4 linked regions of the Saccharomyces cerevisiae S288C genome follow. The gene in region 3 interacts genetically with the main gene of each other region. Each region holds a gene or a part of one and is shown on either strand. Other genes may lie near its edges.

The links.
Region 1: mutations in IRA2 (region 3) and PPH3 together harm fitness more than expected from each alone (negative genetic interaction), as found in Saccharomyces cerevisiae (4 studies listed by BioGRID).
Region 2: mutations in IRA2 (region 3) and IDH2 together harm fitness more than expected from each alone (negative genetic interaction), as found in Saccharomyces cerevisiae (3 studies listed by BioGRID).
Region 4: mutations in IRA2 (region 3) and ALD6 together harm fitness more than expected from each alone (negative genetic interaction), as found in Saccharomyces cerevisiae (3 studies listed by BioGRID).

Annotation. Positions count from the first base shown.
Region 1 is NC_001136.10:595,282-599,400, reverse strand, and holds PPH3 (phosphoprotein phosphatase PP4 catalytic subunit PPH3), read right to left. Parts: upstream 2,246-4,119; coding exon 1,319-2,245; downstream 1-1,318. Other genes in the region: putative DNA-dependent ATPase RAD55, read right to left, coding at 1-933; trehalose-phosphatase TPS2, read right to left, coding at 2,818-4,119. UniProt on the Saccharomyces cerevisiae protein: Forms the histone H2A phosphatase complex in association with the regulatory subunits PSY2 and PSY4, which dephosphorylates H2AS128ph (gamma-H2A) that has been displaced from sites of DNA lesions in the double-stranded DNA break repair process.
Region 2 is NC_001147.6:578,367-582,385, reverse strand, and holds IDH2 (isocitrate dehydrogenase (NAD(+)) IDH2), read right to left. Parts: upstream 2,137-4,019; coding exon 1,027-2,136; downstream 1-1,026. Other genes in the region: SIA1 (Sia1p), read left to right, coding at 1-573; GTPase-activating protein BAG7, read right to left, coding at 2,593-3,822. UniProt on the Saccharomyces cerevisiae protein: Performs an essential role in the oxidative function of the citric acid cycle. Also binds RNA; specifically to the 5'-untranslated leaders of mitochondrial mRNAs.
Region 3 is NC_001147.6:169,103-174,887, reverse strand, and holds the start of IRA2 (Ras GTPase activating protein IRA2), read right to left. Parts: upstream 3,819-5,785; coding exon 1-3,818. Other genes in the region: ATG19 (Atg19p), read right to left, coding at 4,914-5,785. UniProt on the Saccharomyces cerevisiae protein: Inhibitory regulator of the Ras-cyclic AMP pathway. Stimulates the GTPase activity of Ras proteins.
Region 4 is NC_001148.4:430,656-435,018, reverse strand, and holds ALD6 (aldehyde dehydrogenase (NADP(+)) ALD6), read right to left. Parts: upstream 2,432-4,363; coding exon 929-2,431; downstream 1-928. Other genes in the region: MFM1 (Mfm1p), read right to left, coding at 1-496; YPL062W (uncharacterized protein), read right to left, coding at 2,720-3,124; protein translocase subunit TIM50, read right to left, coding at 3,650-4,363.

The sequences.
Region 1 (4,119 bases), on a different chromosome or scaffold from region 3:
AATAGCTATTCTCAAGTTTTCAAAGTTTCGTTTGTTTATTCTCATTTCTTTGATGGTAGTACATCCCTCGTTACTCTGCGAGGATGACGCCTTCACTCTTTTGCTTTTCACGAAAACGGTTTCGTCCACTTGTTCATTCCAATCCCTAAAAAGGCCGATCCTGTCTCTTAGAAATACTTCCCAAGTGGAATCCTTGCTTCCCATAGCGATATTGGCAACGAGCGCGCTTTTCAATATATGTACATTGTTCTTACGCCTTTCGTTGTTAGAGTTGACAAAGAAGTTAGATCCGTCGTCTAAAATTTCGTAGTATTCTTCCAAGGATTCGAATTCGTTTGATTGGAAGGCGGTGTTCATACAGTCATTTAAAACTATTATTGTCGAACCCGTGGAATGTGTGTATTTGGTCATTACCGTAAAAATTAATATCAAATGTCGACATTTTAACTCGTGTATAGTTTTATCTATCATTCCGCCGCCTCTTTTACTTAGTGTACACAGATGATCGCAGACTAATTGAGAAAATCCATCAATTATAACTAGTTTATATCGCACACTTTGAGATAATTTGAACAAATTCTGGAAGAAATATAATAGCTGTCCAAATTTCGTTATTCGGACCCGCTTCACATTTTCTTCCACGATTTTAAATTTTTGAAAGCGTTCTCTTAGTATGTTTATGGGCATTTCTTGAAATGTTTCTATCCATAGAATTTTATCGTCGTTTATTTCCGATTGTTGTATGCCTTCTAACGAATTACACACCAATTGAATGCCAAAATTAGTCTTGCCAATGCCCGGAGGCCCAAATATTTCGTAGATCGACCTTGCCTGGAATCCCAGGTTTAATATCTCATCTAATCCTGTGATGCCGCTACTTAATGGCTTTGGACTTTCTACTATTAATTGGGAAAGTGGTATACCAAGCGACATATTTTCATATTATATATTATTAATAAGTTCTTTTCCTTATCTAAAAGCTTTCCTTAATGTACTTGACATCTTTGATAGCGGAGCTTATTATTAGTTAGTCATGCTACTATGTATTTTTTTCTATTTTTCATATCAAACGCGATGAGAAGAGAACACGTGAAGAACTTAGGGGACCTCCGCATCTATAACATATTCTACTGAAGAAAAAAAGGAATAAAAAATAAAAGAAGAAACGGTAGCTGGGTATATATTAGTATTCAAAAGCCATATTGTTAATTAGCTAAGATGTGAAAAGAAGTATGTAATATTACAATTTTTTTTCCTTTATTGCATTATGAAGAAAAAAAGAAAAATGCACTTGACAATTAGAGTGCCTGTTAAAAATTTATAAGAAATAGTCCATTTGAGATTTTTTGGTTGGAATTATAGCATTTCCGACTTCATTTTGTGCCTGAACAGCTTCAAAAATTGTATATTCACGATTCAAATCGTCGTCTATCTTCAATACAGCTGCTACATTACCACAACGATAACAGTAATTCGGTGCCGACCAGACTGTCACTAATCCACCGTCGAACATTTCTTTGTAACCTTCCATCACTAACTGATGAGCTCTAGCAATTAACTCAACGTTGTTTTTCTCTAAGAATTGATCAACTTCTCTTTTACCGAAAAGAAATCCAGCACCTCTTGGTGATAATGACCATGTGTCAACGTCTTCGGGGTCGCTCCATAATAAGTCACACATAGCACCTTCATGTGGAACTTCTTGTTTCCTGTCTATTGTTCGTATTTCATCAACCGTGGTCATATCCGGAGATAATCCACCATGAACACAGAATATGCTATTGTTTATTATTGCCCCCAATGATAAATAATCAAAAACTTCACAGCAGTACCTCCATACGTTACTATTACCATATTTTCTTACTACTTCATCGTAAAATCCGTATACTTTAGTAATTTGCCGGGTTTCGTGATTGCCTCTAATTAAAGTAATCCTATCAGGATATCTTAATTTGTAACATAGTAAAAGTAAAAAACTCTCCAATGAGTAAAATCCCCTATCCACAAAATCGCCCAAGAAAATATACCTTGTTTTCTCTACACCACCACTCTTTTCGAAGAGCGTTAGTAGATCGTGTAATTGGCCATGTATATCACCGCATATTGTAACCGGTGTATCGACTTGTGTTACATTGCCTTCATTCATTAATAGTTCCTGTGAATTTAAACATAGCCTAAAAACGGTTTCTTCAGGAATATGTTTTCCGTCTCTCAGTGATGCTATAATCTTATCTAAGTCCATCATATCTCCCTTGAAATTTGTAATCACTTTTTTCGTGCTGTTTTACTTTGCTACGTGGACTAGCGTGTGACTACAAGTTAAAGTGTCCTGAATTGCAAAAGAAAAAGCTGAGAGGTTAACGTATAAAGAGAAAAGACCTCTGGTAGTACCCTCTTTTACCTACCGCTGTTTCGACGTGCTCTTTTCGAGATGCCGTTCTTCTCCTCAGTTCACATGATAAAGATACTTTTTTTCAATTAATTCATCGATTTTTTTTCTTCCCGCCGGACATTGTATTAAATTTCTTTTTCTCATTAATAAAACAAAGAACAATGATATTTATTAAAAACCGTTTAATAGTAAGGATAATAGTGAGAAGTTACATATCATATAAAGTTATTACATATTGGAAGTTTATAAAAATATAATGTGTATGTAAATCTTCGAAAATGGTGGGTTGAGACTATTATATATATGCCTTCGTCGCAACACCACATATTGACTGTTCAAATACAATACAAAGAAAAAAATAAAGCATGAAGGAGTAAGACGTAAGATGTCTGTCTAGTCATAACCATTTCGTTAAAAAGGGTGTTTCAAACCTTTGCGCCGGTGTAAGAAGCCGATCTTTTCATAACATAAGCTTTAGATGCTAGCTTTGATTTCAAACTGCTCTCACTATTCTTGACATGACCTCTGGAATCCAGGTCGACCGTACCAGCACTTTGGAAGAGAGAGACATCACCAACAAGTAAACCTAAAGTCTCCAGGACTTGCTGAGGATCGGTTAAATGAGCCTTTGCGACAGTTTTCTTGGATGCAGATCCCACAGTGACAGGATAGAATCCGTAGTTGCCCCATTGATTTTTTTGGTCAGGATATTTTTCTTTCCAACAAGTTTCAATGGTATTCAACTGTCTAAACATGTCTTCGTCAGTGAAGTCATCACCCAAACATAATACAAAATCAGGCATTTCATCCTTAGGTAGTTTTTCACTGATTCCCTTCAACATGTCCTGTGGTTTGCCATGTTGATGCCAGACTAGTCTCTTGACTATTTCACCTTTGTTGACGAATCTTGGACGAACTTCAATGTTTGCTTTACCATCCATGACCTCTAAATCAAAGTCATCAGTAAATGATAACAATTTTTCTTTCAGTTCTTTGGCGTGGAATTCACCCAATTCTGGAACGGTACGTCTATAATGCCAAGTTAGAGCGACTTTCTTTCTTTCGATGAATGAACCTGGGGTCCTTGTGGTAAATTCTTCCATCACTTCATTGACGCGTACTTGCCAAGACATATCAACTTTTTCGGTCAAATTGACCCAATCTTGGCAAGAAACATCTTTCATGAAACATCCATGCTCCGCACTTAGACCCAGTTGAGGAAGTTTACCGCCTAACCACTTGTTCAAAAACTTCTGGTCACGACCAGAAATAATCCAGATTTGATTATGAGGATCAGCACATAATTTTTGTAGAATTGTATAAAGTCTTGCCGATGGAATAGCTGCAGCTGGGTCTTTGACAATTGGGGTCAAAGTACCATCGTAATCAAAAAGGAACAATCTACGCTTAGCCTGCTTGTAATTTTCTAAAAGAACAGGTCTATTAAGTGCTGGAGTCATTTTCCTTTCCATATCATCATTAGATGACGCCTGTTCCTTTAATGAACTCAAAAACTTATTAGTCCAATCTTGAATTGTAGGAACTTCTTTCCATAATTTTGATTCTAAATTGGACTTTTCTTCCTTGTCCAATTTCAAAGCCATGTTAATAGATTTAGCCACGGCCACCGAATCCCATGGGTTAACCACAATGGCATCTTTCAATACGTTACTAGAGCCAGAAAACTCACTTAAGATCAATGGATTTCCGTAGCATAAAAAGTTCGA
Region 2 (4,019 bases), 410 kb from region 3:
CTCACGAAGAATACTCTTTTGGAAAGAGACATTGATACCGAAGACGAAACAAACCCATCAGAGGCTTTATTTTTCGTCTTTGATTCATTTGCGCCCGTCAATAATTTCCTACAAGATTATAACGACCTGATTGGGAAAATAGACTTTGGCTTGGCATTTCAATATTTTCCATTATCGGAATATAGGCCTCATGGTTTATTTCCTATTATTGGGCAGTATAATGAGAGGTCTACCTTAACAGTAGATACGCCAAGGTCTAGAGGACAAGTTTCAATGACGATCAATGGCAAACATTACAAAAGCTTCCTTGATATCCTGAGTCTTTGGAATATAAAGGGTGTCAGTTGCGGACATGAACATAATAATGACTGTTGCTTACAGTCAAAAAATGAGATGTGGTTATGTTACGGTGGGTCCGCTGGTATAGGCTTGCCGAGAATCCAAGGTATATATCCAACCGTTAGATTATTTAACTTGGATGATATTTTGGACGAAATAACTTCGTGGAAGAGGAATAGCAATCTTGTTGACGAGGTTTACGATTATCAGTACATCTATAAGGGGAAGCAATAATTTCAATGATTAATTTTGTAAGGTGAACATTGACTGCCAGCAGGATAGATGATAGATAGACATAAACAAAATATACATAACACACGGTGGTGTTTTCTTTTTACACATAATATATTTAATTCTTTTTCTTTTTTTTTTTTTTTGGTTTACAAGTCCACTGAGGGACATTTTGAGTTATCACTTATGGTCTCCTGTAGCATTATTAAAAGAATAAATATCGAAAAGTATACATACTTAATAAAAACTTCAGGCTATTAAATAAACATCAGAACACATTGAGGACAAAGCCATAGAAGTTTGGAGTAGATACGGAATTTTTATTGTATGTATATATTATATATCTAAGCATTTTGCTTTTTTTTACTTCATAATCTTTCAGAAATCATTATATTAAACGGATAGTCATTTGTTTTCAAGGCGTGAAAAAACCTGAGAGGGAAAAGAATAGGACTTTTATAATCTCTTGATGACTGCTTCAGTGAATGATGAAGTAGTAGCAGTACCAGCCAAGTCACCTGTTCTGTTTTCTGGACCTGATGCGATAGTAGACAATACTGCATTTTGAATTTGGTCAGCATGATTCGTTAGACCCATGTGGTTTAACATCATTACTGAAGATAAAAGTAGGGCAGTTGGATTCGCTTTATCTTGACCGGCAATATCAGGGGCAGAGCCATGGACAGCTTCAAAGATCGAGATTTTATGACCAATATTGGCAGATGGAGTTAAACCTAAAGAACCGGCGCTCAAACCAGAGTTCAAGTCGGACAAGATATCACCGTATAGATTTGGACAAACAGAAACAGCGTCTGTGTAAGCAGATGGGTTGGTGACCACCTTTAACACACTGTTATCAATAAGTTCAGTTTCTAAAGTAAGGTCAGGATACTCTTTGGATAGTTCTTTGGCAACATTAACGAATAAACCATCAGCTAATCTCTGGATAGTAGATTTATGTACCACAATAACTCTTGGTCTGCCGATGGCTCTTGCATATTCAAAAGCGTATCTAATGACTCGCTCAGAGGCATCTCTTGTGATCAGTTTAATAGATTGAACAACGCCAGGGCAAACTATGTGTTCGATACCAGAATATTCACCTTCGGTATTCTCTCTGATAAGAACTAAATCAACGTTTTCGTAAGTGGTCTTAAAACCTTCAATAGACTTTGCGGGACGAACGTTGGCAAATAACCCAAATGTTTTTCTCAATGTCAAATTCAAAGATCTGTGACCTTTACCAATAGGTGTAGCTAGTGGACCTTTTAGTGCAACCAGGTTTTTTGTGATAGATTGTACGGCAGGGTCAGGAATGGTCGTTAATCCGTTGACAAAGATAGGGCTAACATCACAAGATTCCCATTCTATGGGGACGTTTGCTGCACTAAAGATTTTCTTTACAGACTTGGAAATTTCAGGTCCGATACCATCACCTTCAATGAACGAGACCGTGTATTTGCCGGTAGAAGGGTTAGGTTTGCCGGTATATCTTCCGATTGAAGGTTGCTTTACAGTAGCCAAAAACCTCCTCGAGGTGTTTCTAAAAAAAGTATTTCTCAACATTATTAAAAAATATTATAATTGTTGTTCGTTCCCGATCTGTATCTTATTATCTACCAAGGTAATTCAGGTTCAGAAAAAGTGTATCCAATAATGTCATGCACTTGGAATATATATTTATATAAATATGAATAATAAATGAAAAAGAAATAAGAAAAGAGGAAAACTTTAGAAGGAGGGTTTTTCTGATATGACTATGATGAGAAACTAAAACCTTAGGGCCTATAATAAGGGACCTATGAGCTTTTCAATAACTTATATATTCTTTAACCAAACAATGGAAGTTACAGAAAATAGGAACTGACCAACCAGAGCGGCCCGTGTCATGCCCCCCCTTGCCGAGATGCGGACCGAGATTGCTGAAAGAAGCGCCGAGTATCGCAAAAGGCCCCTGGCGGGGCAACGACAATTTCTTCGCCGAACCTCGGAATCGACTAGCAGATCACAGTGCTTAGGAAGCTAAGGCTGCGTTCTAGAAGGGCTAGTGAGTCTTCTCAACCATGACTGTCGTTGTTTGTGTTTGGTTTTATGTTCACCTCTAGGAACTCTTTCTGTAGGGTCTTTGATGCCAGTATTGCTGCTGTTTCCAACGTTCCCAAGTAATTTACTAAGTCTGGGAGAAAGGGACTCTGCACTCAATGTTCTACCTTTAAAGGATCTCGGTACAGAAAGCCCATTGTTATCAAAATCTATTGGGCTAGGAAACAGTGCATGATGATGATGATGATGATGATGTATGGTAAAATTGTTGGAGTCAGAAAGTGCACGTGACCTTGGAAGCATATGGTCATCTATTGAAGGGTGCACAAAATCTTCTTCATCGGAGTCAATAGCCATTTCAGGAACGGTAATGTTGTTAAACTTTGCTACTGTTCCTGCATGCGGCATGGTGTCCTTATTCGCTTTTTCCGTATTCGGTATTATATCTGAAGCGTGTAGTATGAGGAATTCGATGACAGTTCTGGAAGCCTCATACTCTTTCGGGCACATTTCATCCTTGGGATGAGACAAAAGTGAGGGTTGTACGATGGCCGCTAAATTGCTTGCTGACATTAAATTCTTCTTTTCATTTCTTGCAAATAAATTCAAGAGCGCGGCTAAATAAAGTATTAAATGGCGATTTTGTTGTGGTAAGAGCATATAAATATCTTCGTAGTCCTTAATGATTTGTTCTTTGTGCTCATTTATTTTTGGGTTTTCTAATATTGGATTTCTAAAAATGTCGTATAATGCTAGGGGAACCAAAGGCTCACTTAATGAGTTCAAATATCTTTTTAATAAAGTTGCAATGTCATGAACATTGAAATCACACCATCCTTCAAATTTACGACCATAATCGGGCGGTTTAGAGAAAACAGCTTGTAGCTCTCTAACACGTTTATTGCTTCCCGCAATACGGAAAATTCCTGTTGTGTCTAATGCATTCTCTTTTAGGTATTTCCCACTTTTTGCTATTACCACCGGTATGGAACCAATTTCATTTGTACTTTTTTGGATAATTACTTCCTCTTGAGCAACTTTCAGTGATTCCTCGAGTGAGACGCCAAATACTTTACCATCAAATTCGTTTTGCAAATTAGTAAAGGTGTCCCTATCCTTCTTGCCCTCAACAGAAGACATTGAAGATGACCTATTCTGTGGAGAACCCTCTTCAGAAGAAGGTGTAGAAAGTAGATTCATGTTAAACATTCTATTTTATGTTGTGTAATAAGATATGTCCAGAAATATACTATGGTTATTTATGTACTCTTTCCTGTGTACGCGTTTCGATTATTTTGCAGGTTATATTATATACTGCTATCACATGCTAAAACAAGAGTATCTAACAATGGGAACACAAAGCAAGTATTGATTTACTCATTCCAGTTGTGTAATTTTCTTCTAAA
Region 3 (5,785 bases):
CTCCTTTGGAAAGCAATTGAACCAGAAGTTGTGTAGTTGTCATGACACATCGCTTCTACAAACTCAATATTATGAACCCAAGTTTTATCAGCATCATCAATATTCCTCTCATGAAAATTGATTGCAGAAAGATACTCTGTGTAAGCAATCTTTAAAGTCTTTTCAATTTTTTGTTGACTAGAGTATAATGAAACAAATAGGGCCCTACCAACAGTCCCCATAATCAGCGGAAAGGTGAGTTTTTCAGAATCACTTATGTATTCCATGTGGTGTGAGGCCTCCGCGATCCCTGCTAAATGTGATCTAACCTTCATAAACTTGACAGTTATATCCAAGAGAATTTGACGCTTTTCATTATTAATTTTCAAATCGAAAAGGCCCATTGCAAATAATGTTACAGTGTAACTGCAAAGAAGATGATACCCTTCAATACTGATATTCTCATCTGATTCACCATAAGTAATAACATTCGATAATAAGGTATCCATGAATGATTGAGCAGTATTCTGTAAATCTACATCCGGACTTACGATGGCGACGAAAATCGGTTTCATAATATTTCTAAAATCCTGCGAAACCCATTGTAAATTCGAGTTTATATTGTGAGGAATGATGAAGTAACTATTCGGTCTCTTAAAAATACTGAAAATATTAATCATTATTCTTCTAGCATCTTGAAGAGTTGCTTCATTCAAATCTTTTGGTATCAAATGTTCTTGAATGTAATTATTTGTTGATTTCATGAATTTTCCTAAACTTTCATCGGAATAACGCCTCGTTCTTATTTTCTGCAAAGGCGATCGAATTCCGAATGCTGCCGACGATAATGGAGTAGAATTTGTTATGGCCATTGGTGTGGCACTGATGCTTTCCGTTTGCGGACGTTGTACTGGTGAAGATTTTTCCGTTCCTGGAGGTGAAGTCAATGTAGTCGGTATTTTATTCCTTATAATACTAGATGGCCCACCTAAAGCATGACGCGCTCTTGGGGCCACAAGATGTGACAAGTATGGATCAGAAGACAAGTTCTTTGGTGAACTGTTTAATGAATTAACGTTGTCAGAATTTCTTGAAGTACTTGAACCAACTAAAGACAGGGTGTTCATTGGACATATATCAGTATCCAGTCCCAGCGGAGAAACTGGTGTCATTGAACTTTGAGATGTAGATCCTGATCTTGACCGGGTTGTCGAACATAAAGAGGGTGAGCTCCCCTTGAAATGTTTCTTCGTACCATACTCATTGATAATTGTACCGTCAAGAATGGAAGCAACTATGTCGGTGATTTGCTCATCAAAATACGGAAATTCTTGTAAAAGAATATCTGCTATAATGGAGAATAATGTTTTGAAAAATTTAGAAATTTTAACCGCAATTGCCTTCCGCAATTCCTTCTTACTTGGTATGTCGAAGAATATCCTGAATCCTTCAGTATAAAGGCATAGCTTCTGCATGTTTAAATTGTTGGCCATTGTATCGATGCTCAGACGTGCCAGTAATAATTCATGATCGAATTGAATAGCTGAAGAGAAGAATATTAATTGTAATTGAACAAACGTGGTGGAGTTTTTTTTCAAACAAACCATCAAACTGTTATTTATTTTTGAATTCCAGTCTTGACCGACGCTTAAATTTGTCCCCATTATGGGGATGAGTCTCTTGGCAAAAAGTACTGAGGGTAAGTTTCTATCCACGAGAAAGACCGCAGAAGTCATTGTAAAGAATGATAGTAAGGCCCTCATTGTATCTAAGAGGGCAACATCTGATACAGCTTGATTCCCATTTAAATTTCTTAGCAACATCTTCACAAATTTTACAGTTTTTTTGGTTGAGGAAGGTAAAGAAGTTAATTTCTTTAAGCCTTGTGTAATATGTTTTATACCCGAAGTCTTTTCGGAACCTGTCTCGTGTGCAGTATTATTGAAAGAACTTGTTCTTTCTTTTGGACGATGCATAGTACAATCAGGAATATATTTGAATGATGTAGCGTTTAATTCATTAAAAAGGTCAATATCGAACATTGTCAAAGTAGTTAAAAACTTCAGTACGGATGTGTGTGGTAGTACCTCAGTATCATCAAAGTGCGTGTATAACTCCAAAACATTATCCAAACGAGTGACAGACAAAAAATGTTCGTCATAATCCTTACCAGTATGGCCAGTTTTGTGTGCATCGTATGAAGCGCGACTTTGTTGCTCTGCTGTGTATCCAGTTGGGGTGGAATTCGATGGTGAAGCAGCTGCGGCGGCGGCTGCAGCTGCTGAGTTCAACCGCTGTTGCAATTGTGTTGTTGGAGTTGGAGTTTGAGATAATAATGAAGATGCACTAATAGTGATGTTAGACATCGTGGGAGTATCTGGTAAGGAAGGGTCATATTCTCCTGGTTGAGTGTGAGTAGAGAAATCAGTTGTTGTTGAATTAGACGTTGAAGATGACAGTGAAGTAGAGGATTGAGAGTTTGTAGTCCATGAAGAATGTAGTTTTCTTTCAGACTGCTGTTGAATGTATGACTGGTGGTGAGAAAGCTGACGACTTAAGGATTTTGCTATTATGTTTTGATTGTTGTTATCCGATGATGATGAGCTAGGTGGTGACGATGGCGAGGAGGACGAAGGGGAAGATGAGCCTTGATGAGCATTTTGATTGGTGGTTATCATGCTATTCACATTAAAAGTCGAATGGATCTCCTCGAAAAGTGTATGGTTTAACGTGTTTAAGGATTTCGAGTGTTCATTGTTATTATCTTTTAATAAGTTGAAGAGTTCATAATATTCCGCAGGCCTAGCCATTATCCAAAACATTATTGCTTTGGCGCTGTAATGCAAAAGTAGGCAATGATAAATCGTTTTCCTTAACGTCACCGATAAGTTTTTGATGAGTTCCAAGTATTTCTTAAAATTATGCTTGCTTAAATAGATGAAGCTGAAAAGATCAAAGTGGGGCACTATGCTGTTATAAACGGAAGATGGCAAAGAGTGTGAATGGGAGTGTGAATGCGTGTGTGTCTGTGTTACGGGCACTTGCACACTCTTTCTGATAAATTCAAAATACTCGGACGGATTGGAAGCCGCTACAAATCGGAGAATATGGCCTAGAGTAGAGTCAATCATTTTACAATGAGAAGGATGGTTGTGCCTTGTCAGATAGGATTTGTGGCGGGGAAGAATCGAGGAACTCAAAGTCGTTAGAATGTTTCCATGAACATGACTGATCATATTTTGTAAAATTTGCAAAGTTCTTGTATTGAACTTCAACTTCGCGCAACTCTCAAGCAATTTCGATGCCAGTTCCGGTATCAGTGCCTGAGGTTTGCTCTGGTGGAAAAAGTGTTTGTTGCCATTGGAATGAGTCGACGAGTAGTCGGGCAGAATACTGTTAAGCTTTGGTCTGTACTTCTGTTCTTGGTCATGTTCTACGTGAGTCGAAATGTCGTTGTAATGAAGGCTTTCTTGATTTTGCCAATTATACTCTAGCGCATCACTTAACAATCTTAGTATAATCAGTATTGATTCAATAACGTCACTGCTACCCTTATCTGAAATGATTTCGTGCCCTTGAAGAAGCGATTCTATCAACTCCAAGGTGCCTTCCACCATAGCATTTGCATCTCGGGAAACGGTAACGTTAATGAGCACAGATCTGCATGAAATGAATGAGGAATACTCTTCCACTTCCGAATAGGTACTTAGATTAGACTCCACCGGAAGGATCGGGAGAATTCTTTCAAAAAGAATATGATTAACCAACGTCCGAGTCATGCGGGATGACTTGGAATCGGTCCCGTGTTCTTTCTTCTTATTCTTAGTGGGCTGGGACATGCTTCTCCCTGAAGAAAGATAATGTATACAGTTTAGTTGATATCAAAAAATGGTGTAACGTTGGGGGAAAAGTAACACTAAAGGAGAAAAGCAAAACGAATAACAGAGGACAATGCTATATGCTAGTGTGCTAAAATGTGGTTAAATGTTTGCTACAATTGGTGAAAAAGTACTTAAGCCTTGTTCTGATTTTGTTTTCGCTTTTTCGGTCTTTTGTTTCCCAGGAGCTCTAGACAATGAAGTAAGCGGAGAGAATGTAGGGCAATAGGATGTGCTTAACTCCCCGGTTATATGTAGAATAGATAATCGTTGGGCAAAACTTTTCACAAGAAGACACAGCAAAGCTTGGGGTTTTCAAAAAGGCGTGCGAGCTTTATTGTGATGGAAATTTTCGTTTCATCAAGGGAGCGTTCTAGAAGAAACGAGAGCTCTACGAACATTTCTGCGCCGCGGATTGATTCACCGATCGGGTGACCCTTTTTGAGGAGCTACTTTGGGTTGGAATCACACTAAAATGTGTAAGGCGGTCAGTATAGCAAAGAACTTGGGGTGGGACGCTGGTGCCGTGCAAGAAAGGCTACGTGAACCTCGTACTAGTCCAAGATATTGGCTCGATGCATTAATGGCAGACTCTTATCTCGCTAAGATGTTTGAAGGCACATCGGTTCTAGAGGTCCAAGTCCCAACCCAAGTCAAGGCCAAGCAAGGCAAGGGGATTTAGAATAGTTCTATCATTCTGCGGGGAATGAGCGGAAGAGTAAGAGTATTGGTTCTGTTGTGGATGACACTTACAAGGGTAACTACTGTTTTTCTTGTTTTCTTATTTTCTTGTTTCCCTGCTTTTCTCTGGGATCTGTGCGGAAGGCGTCATGTCCCTGCTCGTCCCTGATTGTCCGTACTTTTCTGGTTAGCCGTATATCGTTTGAAAGTAGATGGCATGTATGAAGAGCATGATGCTAGGTGATAAGTAATGAGAGGCCTTAGGAAGTAAAGAGTTTCGAAAAGGGTTATTTTATATTTATTGTATTTATTATATTTAATATATTTATGTGTATGTGAAAAGGTACTCATTGCTGTATAAAAATAGAGTTTGACCTAGAGTTCTTCCCAAGTCAGGGCTTTTTCATTGTCGTCACCGTCATAAGAGAGTGAAATGGATGTACTGATGATACTAGAGTCATCCAGTTCTGGTAACGTATCGATTTGAAAGGAGTAAAATGGCTCTTGGGATGCCTGTAAACTTTCTGCAGATAATCTTGAAGGTGGCCTTAAGTTAATCATTGGAGAAGAGCCATACTTGCCCAAGAAGATCACTTCTCCATACTGATTTTCAATCTCGATAGTGGAGCCGGCCTCTAAATCAAGTGCGTATGGAAAGTATCGGTATTCCTTGTACTCCTTTATTCCTATTTCATGAGGACCCATGTCAATAATTTGCGTGGTTGGCTTATCGCCAGCGTCAGTAAACTTCAGTTTGCAGTTGCCTGCCAAAACAGAGTTTGTGTTGTTAAACAACTGGAAATACAATGAATTGTCCCTTTGGTTCATTGTGATTTGCAATGAGCGCTCATTTGGGGGTTCCACTTCTATTTTAGTTTCCTTTTTCGAATGGTCAGAGGCGATTTCCGTCTTACTGTCACATTCTTGTGATAACCTCTCATAGTCATGGTAACGTTGAAAAACGTCCTCAAGTTGTTTGACTGTTTTCAACTCTGTGAAAAAGTTCACTAGTTCGGACCTATCTTCTGGTATGTCAATCGTACCGCTTATTCTGTGGTTAGGTTCTTTATTTGTGACCTTTTGCTCCAATTCCAACTTATTTAACGATTCTTCCAACTTAAGGAGTTGTTTCATGAAGTTATCCAAGCATTCTCTTGACACAACCACATTAGAGGTGGAATTAGGGCTTATCTCTTCTTCGGAACCAGCCTTTGGAGATACGGGATCTTCGTGTGCGTCTTCTCTAC
Region 4 (4,363 bases), on a different chromosome or scaffold from region 3:
TAATAAAATCCTTGTGAGCTTCTGAGTTTAAAGTTATTCCACTGCCGGCTGAATCGAAGATAATAACCATATCAGGCTTAATTAGGGCTTTCACAGTAAGTAAACTGATTAGTATGGAATTTTCTCGCACGAGCAAACTAGGGACTAAGTCATTCTTCCTTGATTTTTCAATTTTACGTAGATCTCTGGGCAACAAGCCATGTTTTGATACTAGATCCTCACGTTTTATCTCTACTAATGGTGATTTGGCTCGTCCAGTTGAGTCTAGCAAAGTACATCGTATTGTCCCTGATCCATACCCATAGAGCATGTTGTTTCTTTGGATCAAGTTTTTCTGTAGTAGCATTGCAGCGGTATTGTCAGGGTCCACCTTAGGCATTTGCCTAGAGAAATCAAAAGAAGAAAGTGATGAACCAAAAAGCCTTACTGTTCGAAGAAGGATGTTATTATATGATCTCTGATGGCGAAATGGCAGTACTCGGGGGAATGCTCTCATGTGTACCTTTTGATTGGAATTGGTTCGCAGTGTTTATGTTATATTAGCTCAATGTGCTCCCTGTATTTTATATATGAAACAAGTCTTTGTATTGCTATTTTTTTCAAACCTTTTTCTCAACTCTAAAAGCGGTCCACGTTAGTTTTCTTTGGATATAGCAGTTGTTGTACACTAGCTTAAGATGTAAAATTCAATTCAATATGATTTTGTGTGGGATGTTTTAAAGAAGGCACAAGCCTGTTCTCTCTTTTTCTCTTTTTTCATGGATTGTATCGCTTAAAAGGGAGAAATGAAGTAAACGATTCTTTTTGTAAAAATATAAAACCAAATTTTTTAATTTATATGTATACATATTTATTTATGACGTAAGACCAAGTAAGTTTATATGAAAGTATTTTGTGTATATGACGGAAAGAAATGCAGGTTGGTACATTACAACTTAATTCTGACAGCTTTTACTTCAGTGTATGCATGGTAGACTTCTTCACCCATTTCTCTACCGTAACCAGATTGCTTAACACCACCGAATGGAACTCTGGAGTCAAAATCGTTGTATGTGTTGATCCAGACGGTACCGGCCTTCAACATCTTGGCCACCTTCAAACCTGTGCTCAAAGATTCTGTTTCGATACCAGAACCTAGACCGAATTCAGAGCTGTTAGCCATTTCGACACCTTCTTCTAAAGTCTTGAACTTTGCGACAGTGACAACTGGTCCAAAAATTTCTTCCTTAACAATTCTCATGTCTTCATTAACATCGTAGAAAACGGTTGGTCTGATGAAGTAACCCTTGTCACCAACTTTTTCGCCACCAGTTAAGATCTTGGCGCCTTCTTTCTTACCGATATCGATGTAGTTCATAATTGTGTCGAATTGTTGACGGTTAGTGATAGCACCTTGGAAGTTAGCCTTGTCAAATGGATTACCAACTTTGATTTCGGTTTCCAAGTAAGCCTTGAAAGCAGCCAATAGTTCGTCGTAAATACCTTCTTGAACGTAAATTCTAGAACCAGAGGAACAAATTTGACCAGCGTTCTTGAAAATACCGTTTACTAGATTTGGTAAAGTCTTCTTAATGTTAGCATCGTCAAAGACCAAATGGGCGGACTTACCACCTAGTTCCAAAGTGATTTTCTTCAAGTTAGATTCAGAAGAGTCGACAGCAACACTCTTACCGACTTCTGTAGAACCGGTAAAAGCCAGCTTTCTGATTCTTGGGTCGTTGGTCAAAGCAGCACCAACAGTTCTACCAGGACCTGGAACGATGTTGACGACACCAGCTGGAATACCAACCTTCTTACATAAAGAAGCAAAGTATAGGGCATTTAAAGGTGTGACAGCAGCGGGTTTCAAGATACAGACGTTACCCATGGCCAATGCTGGGGCGATCTTCCAAGCCAACATCATTATTGGAAAGTTCCATGGAATAATTTGACCACAGACACCGATTGGCTCTAAGGTGGTGAAGTTCATGTAGCCGTCACCGGTGTTGATTGTTCTACCGTTGACTTTGTCGGCATAGGCAGCAGCATCTCTTAGACAGTTGATTGCAATGGTAACATCCCCACGGGCTAAGGCCAAAGTTTTACCATTGTCCAAAGCTTCAATGGAAGAAACCAAGTCAATTTGGCTTTCCAATTCGTCAGCCAACTTACTTAGTAGACGGCCTCTTTCTCTTGGGTCTTGGGTAGCCCATTCAGTGTCGTGGAAAGCACGGTCGGCACATTCGATAGCATATTCAACATCTTCAGTGGTGGCAGAAGAGACCTCACAAACGGTGTTTTCAGTGGAAGGATCTTCGACGGGATAGGTCTTACCGTCTTGAGCTTTCATAAACTTGTTGTTAATGAATAGACCGGTTGGTTGCTCGTATGTCAAACCATTTGGAAGTGTGATCTTGACTGGTTCAGCAGTGTCAAAGTGTAGCTTAGTCATTGTATTCTGATAGTATGTGTTTGTGTATGTTAAAGATGTTTCTTGATGTTTTTTCTTCTATAAAACAAGAGAAGTAAAAGACTGAACACTTCGAATTGAATATTACCAAACTTCTTATTACATTTATATATGATATCAAGAACTTGTTAAACACGCCAGGCTTGACCTCGAACGGTGTTTTGATGTGTTACTCAACCGTTAAATCGCTGTTTGAGCTGACTAACAAGGTTGCTTGTCTTGAATCCCCCTCACCCCGAATTTATTACGAATTTGCCCACATGGTCGGTGCTATATCGCATTCGTTGCACTCACCGTTCCCAAGAGGAGATCAATGTTACATACGTTCCCGATGCCCAAAACGGTAAAGTTAAAGCGATATAGAAGCTGGATGCATATCTTTTTACACGTCCGCGGCGCGCCCACCCTCTTTTTTCTTTCTGGTTCCTTTTCGGTCGTTTTTCTTTTGTCGGCTGCCTTATTCCCGTGGGGATGAGGCGAGCGCCGTTTCGGCTTGGATACGCCATATGCAACAATGACGTCTCGGTGCTGGCCATGCCCCTCATTTATGTCGAAAAACAGGCCACTGCCCCTCTTTTCTGCGGCCCGGGCAAGAGGAGACCTCATCAGCCACGGCGACGTGCTGGTTGCTTCTACAATGGTATCTTCACCTTTTACATAATCCAATTCTATCATGCCCTTACGTGAGGGGCAGTGTCGTATGTGACGGCAGTTCCTGACCTGATAGTGTGTCTATTTGTCTGTTAGCGTCCGCGGAAAGTTGTGAGTACGGTTTTTAGTTTAGTTTCCACCCGGGATTATACTTTTGGCTACCCTGACTGGAAGGCGGCGGCCTTATATTCGAATGAACATGCCAGGCATTGTACGAATTGAAACTTTTTTCGTATGACGTTACGAATAATTCCATTCGGCCTAAATATTCTTTTTTTTTGGATTTTTATGCTAGTGAAGGAATATGAGATATGCAAAGCGCATCAGATCATTAGGTGTGTCTACATCGTTAAAATTTAACATAGAAAAAATAAATAGGCGTGTTTGTACGTAGTATGGTGATGTTAGGAGGTGCAGTGGTAGTAAGTTAGCAATATACATAAGTTTTATTCACATGACAGTAACAAAATGAGGGTGTGGGGAGTGTACAGGTACATTTACATACACACATAGATACGTAGATACATGAGAAGAGGGTTTACATGAAAATTATTTGGATTCAGCAATCTTCTTCTTTTTCTTTTCCTCTTCAAATAAGGCGTCTACCTCCTTCTGCTTCTCCAATTGTATTTTCATTTGTTCTTCTGGCGAAGGCAAGTTACCTTCAACATAGTCTTTCAGCGTAAATGTTTGCCCGCCCATTTGCTCCTGCTGTATTCTAATTTTTTCCTTTTCTTCCTCAATCATCTTCATGAACATTAAATAGTTCTTTTGTCCTTCTTCATGAATCAAATCGAGCGGGAACTTGGTGCTGCCGCCCAGGGAATTTCCGAGACCTAGTGCCGTCATTGCCCAGTTGCCACCAGATTTATGATCTCCGTAAAATTTATCCTTCAATTTTTTCACACGATGATCAAATTCTTCTGCTAGGTTCTTCTTGTCTTCAAAGCTGTTCAAGATTGGTCTAACATCCTTGGTTTGTTGAGTGGCAAGGTACTCCAAAAATGGAATCAATCTTACTAATTTGTCATCAGCTTCACCATTCCATGGCTCCATTGGAATAGCATTTTCAGGTTGCAATTTGTAACTGTTAGGGTCAGTGTCAATAATGATTACTTTACTCAAATCTCTATTCAATTTTGACAGATCCTTAATGTGCACACCGTCTTTGTAAACACAGTGTTCCTTGAACAAATTATAAGATACGAATGCATGGATTGGATCTAATTTTTCAGCGATTTTGTCAGAGTACATCATATAGTT